3 linked regions of the Cricetulus griseus genome follow. The protein of the gene in region 1 purifies or fractionates together with the protein of each later gene. This does not show direct contact. Links are inferred from orthologs where the notes say so. Each region holds a gene or a part of one and is shown on either strand. Other genes may lie near its edges.

What was found.
Region 2: the proteins of Lyn (region 1) and Plcg2 purify together in Homo sapiens (affinity purification with western blotting; 3 studies listed by BioGRID, with this or other methods). This does not show direct contact. The link is inferred for Cricetulus griseus from reciprocal best matches to the Homo sapiens genes LYN and PLCG2.
Region 3: the proteins of Lyn (region 1) and Ankrd54 purify together in Homo sapiens (affinity purification with mass spectrometry; 3 studies listed by BioGRID and IntAct, with this or other methods). This does not show direct contact. The link is inferred for Cricetulus griseus from reciprocal best matches to the Homo sapiens genes LYN and ANKRD54.

The regions. Positions count from the first base shown.
Region 1 is NC_048595.1:156,369,642-156,373,289, reverse strand, and holds part of Lyn (tyrosine-protein kinase Lyn), read left to right. Parts: intron 1-517; coding exon 518-563; intron 564-1,520; coding exon 1,521-1,626; intron 1,627-3,648. UniProt on the Homo sapiens protein: Non-receptor tyrosine-protein kinase that transmits signals from cell surface receptors and plays an important role in the regulation of innate and adaptive immune responses, hematopoiesis, responses to growth factors and cytokines, integrin signaling, but also responses to DNA damage and genotoxic agents.
Region 2 is NC_048596.1:194,234,690-194,238,337, forward strand, and holds part of Plcg2 (1-phosphatidylinositol 4,5-bisphosphate phosphodiesterase gamma-2), read left to right. Parts: intron 1-464; coding exon 465-632; intron 633-3,648. UniProt on the Homo sapiens protein: The production of the second messenger molecules diacylglycerol (DAG) and inositol 1,4,5-trisphosphate (IP3) is mediated by activated phosphatidylinositol-specific phospholipase C enzymes. It is a crucial enzyme in transmembrane signaling.
Region 3 is NC_048595.1:376,177,498-376,181,866, reverse strand, and holds the start of Ankrd54 (ankyrin repeat domain-containing protein 54), read left to right. Parts: upstream 1-1,559; 5' UTR 1,560-1,658; coding exon 1,659-1,983; intron 1,984-4,107; coding exon 4,108-4,155; intron 4,156-4,369. UniProt on the Homo sapiens protein: Plays an important role in regulating intracellular signaling events associated with erythroid terminal differentiation.

The sequences.
Region 1 (3,648 bases):
GTGCTGCCAATCTTTAATTCTATCTAGGCAGAAAGAGGCATATTTCACCAAGGCCCCACCCAACCAGTGAGTTTATGCCATGCTTCTTCCCCTTCTACATAGGGAGCTGTAAGTCTAGAAGCAGCTATCACACTAGGCAAACTGCCACCTCAAATATTAGCACTCTGTTAAAAGCAAGAGAAAGGATCATGGCGGGCTGGCCTCTAGTCCCCAACTCATGAAGCCCTACTCACTTGACCTGTTGATACAGACCAAGAACTACATGTCCAGAAAAAGCCCTGAAAAGGACTGTACAGGTGGGACCTGAGGAAGATGGCATTGGATGCTGGAGCCTTGCTCTGAGCCCTTGCTCTGAGGCAGTGGCAACACCCTATAAGCTTTTCTGTTCAGCTCATCTTTCCTGCTTAGTAACTGCAAATCTAAACCTCACTTGTTGCTGTTAGAAAGATGTTAGCAGCATGCATGCAAGAAAAAGTTGATCATGATATTTTTTTCCCTAACGAATACTCTTTCGTAGGTTCCAGAATCTCAACTTTTACCAGGACAGAGGTTTCAAACAAAAGGTATGTTTTCTTAGCAATATAGTTAATATTCTGTTTGTTGTTGTGGGAAAATATATATATATATACATACATATATATATATATATATATCATAAATTTATCATGCCTTTAACCATGTTTTAAATGTGGAGTTCAGAGGCAGGAAGTCCACATTGCTGTGCAAACCTCACCAGCATCCATGACAGAAGGTTTCCATTATCCCAAGTGGAACTCTATCATTAAACACCCTTGCTTCTCCACTCCCTTCTGCTCTGGGCAGCCACCATTATACTTTCTGTCCCTGCGGATTTGATTGCTCTAGGTAGCACACGTGAATGGAAATTATACAGTCTTTGTCATTTGTGCCTGGCTCATTTAATTTAACATGAGGTTTTCAAGGCTCATCTATAATATATTGTGTGCCAGAACTTCGATTCTTTTTGATTTAATATTATTCTATTATATGTATATGTCACATTTTGTTCATTCCACTGATGGATACTAGAGTAGCTTCTGCCTTTGGGGGACCATGACAGTGCTGCCATGATCAGACGTATATTCTGTCCTAAACATAGTTTTGAAATTATAGTAGGTTCCTGGGCTTGGTGTACACAGTATGCAGCTGGTATTATTTTTGTTGTTGTTGTTGTTTTCTTTTTTTTAAGATTTTATTTATTTATTTATTATGTATACAATATTCTGCTTCCATGTATATCTGCACACCAGAAAGTGCACCAGATCTCATAATGAGATGGCTGTGAGCCACCATGTGGTTGCTGGGAATTGAACTCAGGACCTCTGGAAGAACAGTCAGTGCTCTTAACCTCTGAGCCATCTCTCCAGCCCGCAGCTGGTATTATTTGTAGGTGGGAAGCACACAGCTTCATTCCCTGGCCCTTCTCTCCACTGCTTCTTTCCTTCCTTTGTGTTTATGTTGATAGGTTTTGAAAGTGTTTTGCTTATATCTTTTGTTCTTAGATCCAGAGGAACAAGGGGACATTGTGGTAGCCTTGTACCCCTACGATGGCATCCACCCAGATGACTTGTCCTTCAAGAAAGGAGAAAAGATGAAAGTCCTGGAAGAGTAAGTGTGCCCAGATCCTGGCAGCACCTTGACCATAGCTCTTGTCAAGGCAGCAGGAATAGAGCAAAAAGAACTTCGCTTTCAAGTGTGGCTGTGGGCACCTCTATTATTTCTCCCAACAAGGACAGACATTAGGTTCTTTCTTTACTGATGTGCTACCTAAGAAGTTTGGCTCTGTGTCACATGCTACTTAAGATGGCCACTATAGAATTTGGGAAATAGCTCAGTCATAACCTAGTTAGTTACCAGGACTCACCTTTAAAAAGGAAAAGGCTGGGTACGGTGGCACAGCACTGGGGAGGTGGACACAAGAGGATCCCTGAGGACTCTGCCCAGCCATTCTAGCATACTTGCAAGTTTGAGGCCTGTGAGATACTCTGTCTCTTAAAAACAAGATAGGCAGCACCTGAAGAACGACGGATAAGGCTATCTTCTGGCATGTACACACATGTAAACATGTGATGTATACCTGCAAACACAAGTGCACCTGCACAGTCATGAACACACACACACACACACACACACACACACACACACCAATTTGAAAGGCCATTTTTATTTGTTATATTGCATAGATTCAATGGGGCTCATGAGACCACTGGTGTGATTTCTAAGGGTTTGCTAAGGATGCGGTACCACAACCACAGTCATGTTGGCCAGTCCTGCTCACTTCTGCCCTGAAGCTGCTTGGATGTTTCATTTCCCTGACCCCTGAGTGTTGACTCACACATGCGTGACCCTGGTCAGGCATAGGGCACAGGGCAGGGAGGAGGGAGAAGGAGGAACTCTGAGCACTTCAAGTCTAACTTCCTTCTTGTACTGGATTTGCATGAAGCAGCACCCCGACCCCAGCCTGCCAAAGGGGGAGAGAAGGGAGACTCCCTCACTGAAAATGAGGCACTCAGTGCTGTCCTGAGCTTCAGCATGAACTTGTGTTTGAATGTGGCCCTTCCTTCTGAGAGTTGCCTTGAATGCCTTCAAGGATGGCCTTGAAACGTCACTCAGTCTGTTCCTTGGAATTTTAACTTTTGAAATGGGCATGACACCAAAGGATTGTGATAAGCATGGTGTGTGTGTGTGTGTGTGTGTGTGTGTGTGTGTGTGTGTGTGGTATATGTGTGTATACAGTTGTTTCTGAGCATCTGTTACGGATGGTTTTCAGTACCGCTCATGCATGCTAAAGCCCATGTGTTCTTGTCTTTGATACAAAATGGCACAGTATTTACATATAGCCTACAGCATCCTCCACATACCTTATTTTTTTTAAAAAAAAGTATTCTTTGAGAATTCCATACATCTGTGCAATAAACATGGTCATATTCACCCCCTACTTCCTCCAACACCCCTGCATTCCACACATGCCCCTTCCAACTTCACATCCTCTTCCTTTCTTTCTCATAGCCAACTAAATCCAACCAGTGCTGCCCATGTATGCATGACAGTGGGGTCATCTCCCAGTGGCCATGTTTCCACAGAAGAGTTGTTCTCCCTCACCAGGCCGCTGTCCACTCCCAATAGTTCCCCAGTTAGGGGTGGAGCCTGGAGAGCTCTTTTACTATAACCCCCCAACATTTCAAATCACCTCTGAATGACTTCTCATGTCTAATACAATGTGATTGTGATTATTATGAAAATGGCCTTATCAAACAGAGAAGAAGAAAACATAGATATAAAAGTTTCAGTCCTGAGATTGTAGCTCAATGGTAGGAAGTTTGCCTAGCATGTTCAAGGTCCTAGATTCAATAACCCTGCCTAGAAAAAAGGAAAAAGTTCAGCCTAAAAGTTCTACATATTTTCAGTCTTCAGTTGGCTGAATTTGAAGCATGCACAGGCTGCTTGTGTGAGTAAACAGTTTACAGTACCTGTGAACTGTACTAAAGTTAGTTATGATTGCCTTTCTCCCACAGACAAGGGTCAAGTCTGTGGGGGGGGGCATTTGGAAAGGAACATGGAGGCTTCCAAAGACCCATTCCATCCCCCCCTTTAGTTCAGCTGCTGCTTCTGGGCCTGGTCCTTCCTCCT
Region 2 (3,648 bases), on another chromosome or scaffold:
CAGACCAGTTAAACTGGCCTTTTTATAGGGTGGCAGGTTTGCTTCACGTCTTGCCTTATAAGGCTGGTCATCCATGAGAACGCCCAACACTCTTCAGAGACCCCTAGCTCCCTTTCTTCTTCAGGCCCGGGGTGCATCTCACAGGTCCTCTGCTCATCTCTTTTCTTGAACTCCCCCTCCCCCCAGTTCGGCTCTACACCTGCCCCCCTTCCATTCTCCTATCCCATGAAGTGAGATGGGTGAGGTGGCAGCATGTTCCTGTGCTCACAGAAGGCTGGCCTGCAGCAGGATTGCTTGCTGGGAAAGAAATAACAAAAGATAACTCTTCAGGGCTTTTTAGACCAGGGTGCGGATGCAAATTAAATTTACTAGACTGTGGAGGGATTGAAGCCGAGACTGCAGAGGCCGTCTTACCCCGAGGAGGCAGGGCACAAGCGTCAGTAACAAGTTTTGGTCTTTTCCAGATGACAATGGCCTCAGCCCTGTCTGGGCTCCAACGCAGGAGAAGGTGACATTTGAAATTTATGATCCAAACCTTGCATTCCTTCGCTTTGTGGTCTATGAGGAGGACATGTTCAGTGACCCCAACTTCCTGGCTCATGCCACATACCCCATTAAAGGGATCAAGTCAGGTAAGGACCATTAGCAAGAATGTTCAGCATGGGGGAGGCAAGTTCATTGGTGTGTGCTGCAGGCTGTAAACGGGAACACGCCAGCATCTTTCCTGGCTCACGTTAAACCACAACAAAGCCGATGGTGTGGGCATTAAGCACAGGGGTGGGGAGAAAGTGGAGAAAGGCTGAGTCCTTGTTCGTCATCAGTGAGCAAAACATCAGTTACTCCATCCTCAGTCTGGCACTGTTTGGTTTCATTGTGAAATGCCTCAGGCAGTTTGTCTTCATTAGCAGGTGAAGAAATATGTTCTTCCACGAGCCATGAGTGTCACTGGCAGCATCCTAAGGATGAGGCCCCTGGCATCCACAGTGTCTAACTCGCTTAAGCATTCTGAACTCACCGTCTTCTACTAGACTCGGAGGTTGACCTAGTTCTTGGATTTCTTTTTATGCTGAACACAATACAAGACCCCCTCTTGCCTTACAAAGGGGCAGTGTATGCTTGCTTTCCACAATGTCAAAGTAGGTCACATAAGAGCCCATAAATCTGGGCGTCTCTCAGCCCTCATCAGAGCAGCCTGCTTTTAAGGCAGATGATGATAAATGCAGACAACAGGAGACTGTGGAGTACTTGATTCTACGTAGGACATCTATGTTACCCCCTTCTCCAAAGCTCAGGGGTTTGAGGAAGAGGAGACAGAAAGATTGTCAGAGTTATAGATGTCTGTAGCTACACATACAAGACCCGTACAAGATCAAGCTGACCCAAATCACAGCACAGATGGGGAAGGGCCCATGAAGTCCCTCTCCTCAGTGAGGAACATGAGGAACTCTTAGTAACGATGGCTGCTGCAAGAGGGAGAGTCCCATCTTCTTCAGGGATTCATCCCCTGAGAAGTTACCTGGCTCCAGTAGATGGTCCCACACCAGTGCATAAGTGCACTCAGTGCGTTCAAAAAAGAACATGTGGAGTTGGGGTGGGGGAGTGGTAGGGAGGAACTATGGTGGGTTTGATCAAAGCACACTATATTCATATATGAAATTCTCAAACAAGAAAAAATATGAAAAAACCCAACAACCAAAACCTGCTATACTGAGTTTTTCCAGTACAGCTAAGAATCTTCCCAGACCTGGAAGTTCTCTGAAGGTGGCCAGCCTTAGGGTATGGTTTCTGTCAGTTGCGTCCTCTCTGGATTTCATTTATGATCTAACACACAGGCCAGCTGCACGGTGGATTTCTTACTGCCTTATCCACACACAGCATTGCTGATTCACGACACAGACATCATAGATCCTTCTGGGTTCCCTAAGAGGTCACTGTTCCCCTGTTTCCCAGAGCAGTCATTTTTCAAGAGAAAGAAATTACTATCATTTTTTGTCATCTATATCAAATTACTGTCTTTTGATGTTTGGAAGCCTGGGCTCTATTCTGTGCTGAACTGGGTCTTTTGAAAACTTAGACCATGCCATCTCTTCTCTCATAAAGACTCTCAGCTTCTCCAGCCATTTCTCCCATTCTTTGCTAGGCCCATATCCAAGTAGCAAATGTGTTAGGGACTCCTGTTAGAAAATGTTAATTGCTGGGTCCACCGTGGGATGCTCCAATTCAGCCCAGTGTGGCACTCCGGAATCAGTTGCATGATGTCCCGCCCCCGGGAAGACCTGGGCAGTGTTGAGCAAAGAAGGCTGGCCTCAGTTTCCCATCTTACTGCTGAGGACCCCAACACTTGCGTGAGAGACTGGGGAAGTGTTCAAAGCCTCATTTCTATCTATCAGTTTAGAAGTAGCATTTGAGTACATTATGGCAATAATAATAATAACAAACACCCTGTGATGGCTAACATGCATACGGACGATGTTAAAGCCGGCATCAGAGCTGCTAGACTCTGTTTGGCTATGTACTTTTTAGACTAGCCCAATAAACAGGGTTTGGAAGTGATGCTGCCTCCTTCTCCCAGCAAGAAGAGCAGTATTGGGAGAATCTTTTCAATTCTGGTCTTAATGCCCTCATGGCAGTAAGGAGCTATTGCCATCTGGTTCCTGGACCATCGTGCTCCGCCCCTCCCCTACCATCCTGTGAAAGATGGGGAGGTTACTCTTGGGATGAAGTCAGAGTTCATGGCACACTGCCTTTCCTTATTGCTGGGCAACTTAACTTGAAGATTGAAAAAAAGCCAACAAGGAAACATCAAGGTGTTTAATGGGAACCTCCACCCCATGTCTAACTAGCAGATAACCACAGCAGGGACACTCTCCCTTTCTTTGCCAGCTCCTAGCATATCTATATTCACGAGAGGCAGGAAATGAAATGAATAGTCCTTTTGTGCAGCTGGCTTTCAGGGCCTTCTAAACTTGAAAATAAACTTTGTCCATTGTTGGGATGGTTGCACTTAAGCTTTCAAATTGGCTGGGCCCTGCGCAGGAGGGAGATGACACTTACCACACTCAACCACCTTCATTTCCTTTTCTTTAACCGTTACAGGAAGCCTGTGAGGGTTGCTTTTCTTTTATTATTAAATCATTTTTACTTTTAACATCTGAGGACTTCAAGGTCACGAGCTGGTACTTGGCCATTGTTTTTCCTTCTTTGTAGACTGTCCTTGAGGGGCCTCTTATTTCTAGTGGGTACTTAAAGTCTCCCCAATATTGACCGTTCTTCATTTCCCTTCTCTATGTGAAATAAACAAAGCTAAAAAAATAATACTATTTTCACGGTTGGAGCTGAGAAATACCTTGACTCTAGTTGGCATGAGGGCTTCTCAGAGTTGGGCAGTAAGAAGAGGCATGGGGAACCAAGGGCAGAGCCCATGCCTCTACTGTTAGCCAGTCCCTCCCTGTGGCTGGAGTCCACAGCTTCTTGGCAATGTCCTGGGCCACCCAGAACAGCCCAGGGCTCTGTTTATTTTCCCAGTCCATTAATACTAAACTCTCCCCAGGTCATCCCATGAGATGCACATAATCTTAGCAGGGCTCATAAGGAATCTGCTCCTGCACCTGCATCTTAACAGGAGTCACAGCTCCATTATGCTGGGCC
Region 3 (4,369 bases), about 220 Mb from region 1:
CTTAATACAGTTTCTCATGTTGTAGTAACCCCAAACATTATTACTACTTCATAACTGTAATTTGCTGCTGTTATGAATCATAATGTAAATATATGATATGCAGATGGTATAAATATCTGATAAACAAATGGTCTTAGGCTATTTCTGTGAAAGGGTCATGTGAGACCTACAGGTTGAGAACCATTGTCGATCTTGCTGGCTCAGATTTGAATTTCTTAAACCCTTCTTTCAAGATTTACTTATTTATTTATGTATATAATGTTCTATCTGCATGTATGCCTGTGGGCCAGAAAGGGGCACCAGATCTCCTTACAGATGGCTGTGAGCCGCCATGCTAGGTACTGAACGCAGGACCTCTGGAAGACCTCCGAGTCATCTCTCCAGCACTAATTTTTTAAAGGTGTATTTATTTTTATGTGCACTGGTATTTCACATGAGAGTATGTCTGTGTGAGGGTGAGAGATTACTCTGGAACTGCCATGTGGGTGCTGGGAATCGAATCCAGGTCCTCCGACTCATCTCTCCAGCCCCATCAGCAGTCAAATTGTAAATGCTGACAACCAGTACAAATTTCTCTAATATTCTTTAAAGGCCAACCAGTCGAGGCAAAGAAAGATGGAAAGACAAGGCAACTTGTTGGATCTAGCCTGAGCACCTGGTATTCATATCCAACCTAGAAAAATTCCTGGTGAAAAGACCGGCTCCAAGAAGTTGCCCCCAAATTACAAATATGGAGTAGAACAAAACTAGAACCCATGTCCTTGGAGTCCCACAAGACAATGATACAGGCATTTATTTACTTGATCTTTCAAGTGTTTTCTATTTTTTTATGAATTGACCAAATGCAAATGACGTGTGTGTGTGTGTGTGTGTGTGTGTGTGTGTGTGTGTGTGTGTGTACTTGCAGGCCCCTTGTATCAGGTTCAGGCCCGTGTTTGGTAGGACTTTCAAGGCTGAAAAATAGCCCTGAGCTAATTTGTCTACGGAAGGGTCACTCTTGTATAATAACATAAGGTAAAATTCTTTGTTAAATCAATGATCCCTGTGAAGGAAAGAGAACCCTGACAAAGATAAATCTATTACATTAGAAGATATTACCACCTGCTTCGTGGTGATCTTCAAATCATTGTACGTTTTGTGGAAAACCTCTTTCTGTGTGCCTGTGTTCATTGATTCAAAACACACATCAGAGTAGTTTGGTTTCTTCATTTTCCTTTCCGATTGGCTGGAGAGCATCTTATGGTGATTGGCCAAAGTATTTGCCTGCCGTCCTTCCGGATCTACGATAGGAAGAACTGGCAGAAGAGGGTGGGGGAAAGTAGACTGAACTCTGCTTTTTTATTGGCTCCTGTAGCAACACCGCTTAGTGCGGAGCAATCCCAACTTATGATTGGCTTATGTACCCGCCAGACAAACTGCCGTAAACCAGTGTTCTCGTTATACTCTGCCTTCCTTGCCTGATTGGCTGTGTTGTGCAGGTTCCGCGATCTCTGATTGGTCTGACGCTCTACACAGCCCGGCTTGCCTGCACTCTGTTGCCGTGGTTGCAGGCCCCGCCCGCTCGCTCTCTGACAGCGAGGCTTCTCCTAGAGGGAAGCGGGTCCGTTGGTCGGTCCGGAACGAGGCTGGCGCTGCCAGGCCCGCGCCTAGCCGTTGCCATGGCAGCCACCGGCGGGGTCGCGGATGACGAGTCCCGATCCGGCCGCTCGAGCTCCGACGGCGAGTGCGCGGTGGCGCCGGAGCCGCTGGCGGAAGCCGGAGGCCTGTTCTCCTTCGCGGACCTAGGCGCTGCGCTGGGCGGCGGCGCAGGCCTCCCGGGCCGGGCAGCCGGCAGGGCCCAGTCCCCGCTGCGCTACCTGCAGGTCCTGTGGCAGCAGGACGCCGAGCCCCGCGATGAACTGCGCTGCAAGATCCCCGCCGGGCGGCTGAGGCGCGCCGCTAGGCCCCACCGCAGGCTCGGGCCCACTGGCAAGGAGGTGCACGGTGAGCTCAACCCGGGATCCTAGGGTCGCTCGTGAATGATCGCAGCAGTTAAAGCTGTTGAGGACCGTGACTTCGGCCACTTGGACATCCCTGAATAAAAACTTTCCACTCTCGAGAGTGGTTGTTAGTAGACAATAATGTGAGACAATGGAGAATATTTTTATTATTAGAGAAGGGAACCCAGAGCTGTGGCCACGCTGTACCAACTTGTGTGATGCACAGATCTGAACCAGACTGCTCCACACAGACTCACGTGTGACCTCGCTTTCCTATTTGTAGAATGGGTACACTACCAGCTTTCCTTGGGTGTGAAGACTTAGGCAAGGTTCTGATCTATCTTTGTGATGGACCAAGCACTTTTGATACACAACCTTTTATAGTCATTCCAAGGGATACATTGTGGCCCATAAGAAGTGACTTGTAAACAAGTGAAACAGCCAGAGCCTGGTGGTGGTGGCATAAGCCTTTAGTCCCAGCACTCAGGAGGCAGAGGCAAGAGGATGTCTTGTGAGTTAGAGGCCAGCCCGGTCTACAAAGCTACACAGAGAAACCCTGTCTGGATAAACCAAAAAAAAAAAAAAAAAAAAAAGGAAAAAAGAAAAGAAAGAAAAACAGCCAGGTGTGCCAGGTGTGGTAGTACTCCTGTAATCCTGAGGAGGCAGAAGCAGGACTCTGAGTTCAGGGCTAGTCTGGGCTAAGTATCAAGTTCCAGGTTCACTGTAAATCTTGGTGATTACACTCAGTAGATCAGGCTTTGTAGCTAGCCTCTTTTCCCACTGAGTCAGTTATTACCATTTGGACATTTTTTTTTTTTGGTTTTTTCGAGACAGGGTTTCTCTGTGGCTTTGGAGGCTGTCCTGGAACTAGCTCTTGTAGACCAGAGCTGGTCTCGAACTCTGCCTCCCAAGTGCTGGGATTAAAGGCGTGCGCCACCAACGCCCGGCTTTTTTTTTTTTTTTTAAAGATTTATTTATCTTGTATACAGTGTTCTGCCTACATATATGCCTGTGTGCCAGAAGAGGGATCCAGATCTCATTATAGATGGTTGTGAGCCACCATGTGATTGCTGGGAATTGAACTCAGGACCTCTGGAAGAGCAGCCAGTGCTCTCAACCTCTGAGCCATCTCTCCAGCCCATTTGGACATTCTGATTTCAAGTCATATAGAAGAAGGCTATGCCAGTATTCCAACCCCATCTGCTATATTGTTTCTGCAGTTTGTGGGTGAAAAGGAAAATGGGATACAGAAAGATTAATAAATTGGAAATTTTTAAGGTCTCTTTTCAGACTAGCACCATTTCACCTGGTGTCTTAGTGTTATAAAGATCAAAGGAGGGCCTGGCAGTGGTGGCGCACGCCTTTAATACCAGCACTCAGGAGGTAGAGGCAGGTGGATCTCTGTGAGTTCAAGACCAGCCTGGTCTACAGAGTGAGTTCCAGGACAGCCAGGGCTACACAGAGAAACCCTGTCTCAAGAAAGATTAAAAGAGAATTTCAAAGGACTGTATAAACAAAAATGTGGCATATGGATATATGCAATTGTTATATCTAGTTTGCAGTTGTTTTGACCATTCTCTTGACAACAAAGGTATTGCTTTCTGTTAGTTCTAAGGTAGAAGTGGCATCAGTGAGAAGAGGGAAGTTTCTGCTTAGGAATTACTGAGTTTGGTAAGTCATTTAGGAATGACCTGCTTTGAAGCAGAATAATAAAATGTTGAATGCAATTAGCTCACAAAGGACTAAACCTGCTCAGTCTTTCTCTTTTAAAAAATTATCTCAATTTTCTTTGTAACAACTTAAGAGCTGGCAGAACAAGTCAGCCTTGTTGTACGGATGATGGGCTGGGGCCCAGGGTAAGTAACTGGCTTGCTCAAGGTCGCCAACTACGACAAGTGGCAGAAATTAGATCTGGCTCCAGAAGTCAATTTTCTACAGAAATTGGTCTCTCTTCCAACTGTGGCCCAGTTCCAGTTTCTCCTTGTTCCCAGACTAGTGGTTTCTGTCCCGATACCTTTGCCTTTCTGTGCTGCTGTGACGGAAGGGTGGAATATCAGGGAACACTGGGAAGCGATGTGCCTTATGGTTTTGTTACGATTTTGTTTAACTGTCACTTTTCTCTTTATAGCTCTGAAGAGGCTGAGGGATTCTGCCAATGCCAATGATGTAGAAACAGGTGAGTGTGCACAGTGGCATCTATGGGCTGATGGGGAAGGAAAAAGCCAAGTACTCCATACCTGGGCAGTCTGCCAGCTCATCCACATTCCCTCAGAGCATGTTCACTGTATTCACTCCCTGACCCTGAAATCACTGTGCAAAACGGAAGGAAGTAAGGTGTAGGTACTCCCTCACCAGGCCCCTCTGTTACCCAGAGTCTCCTGGTGTCATAG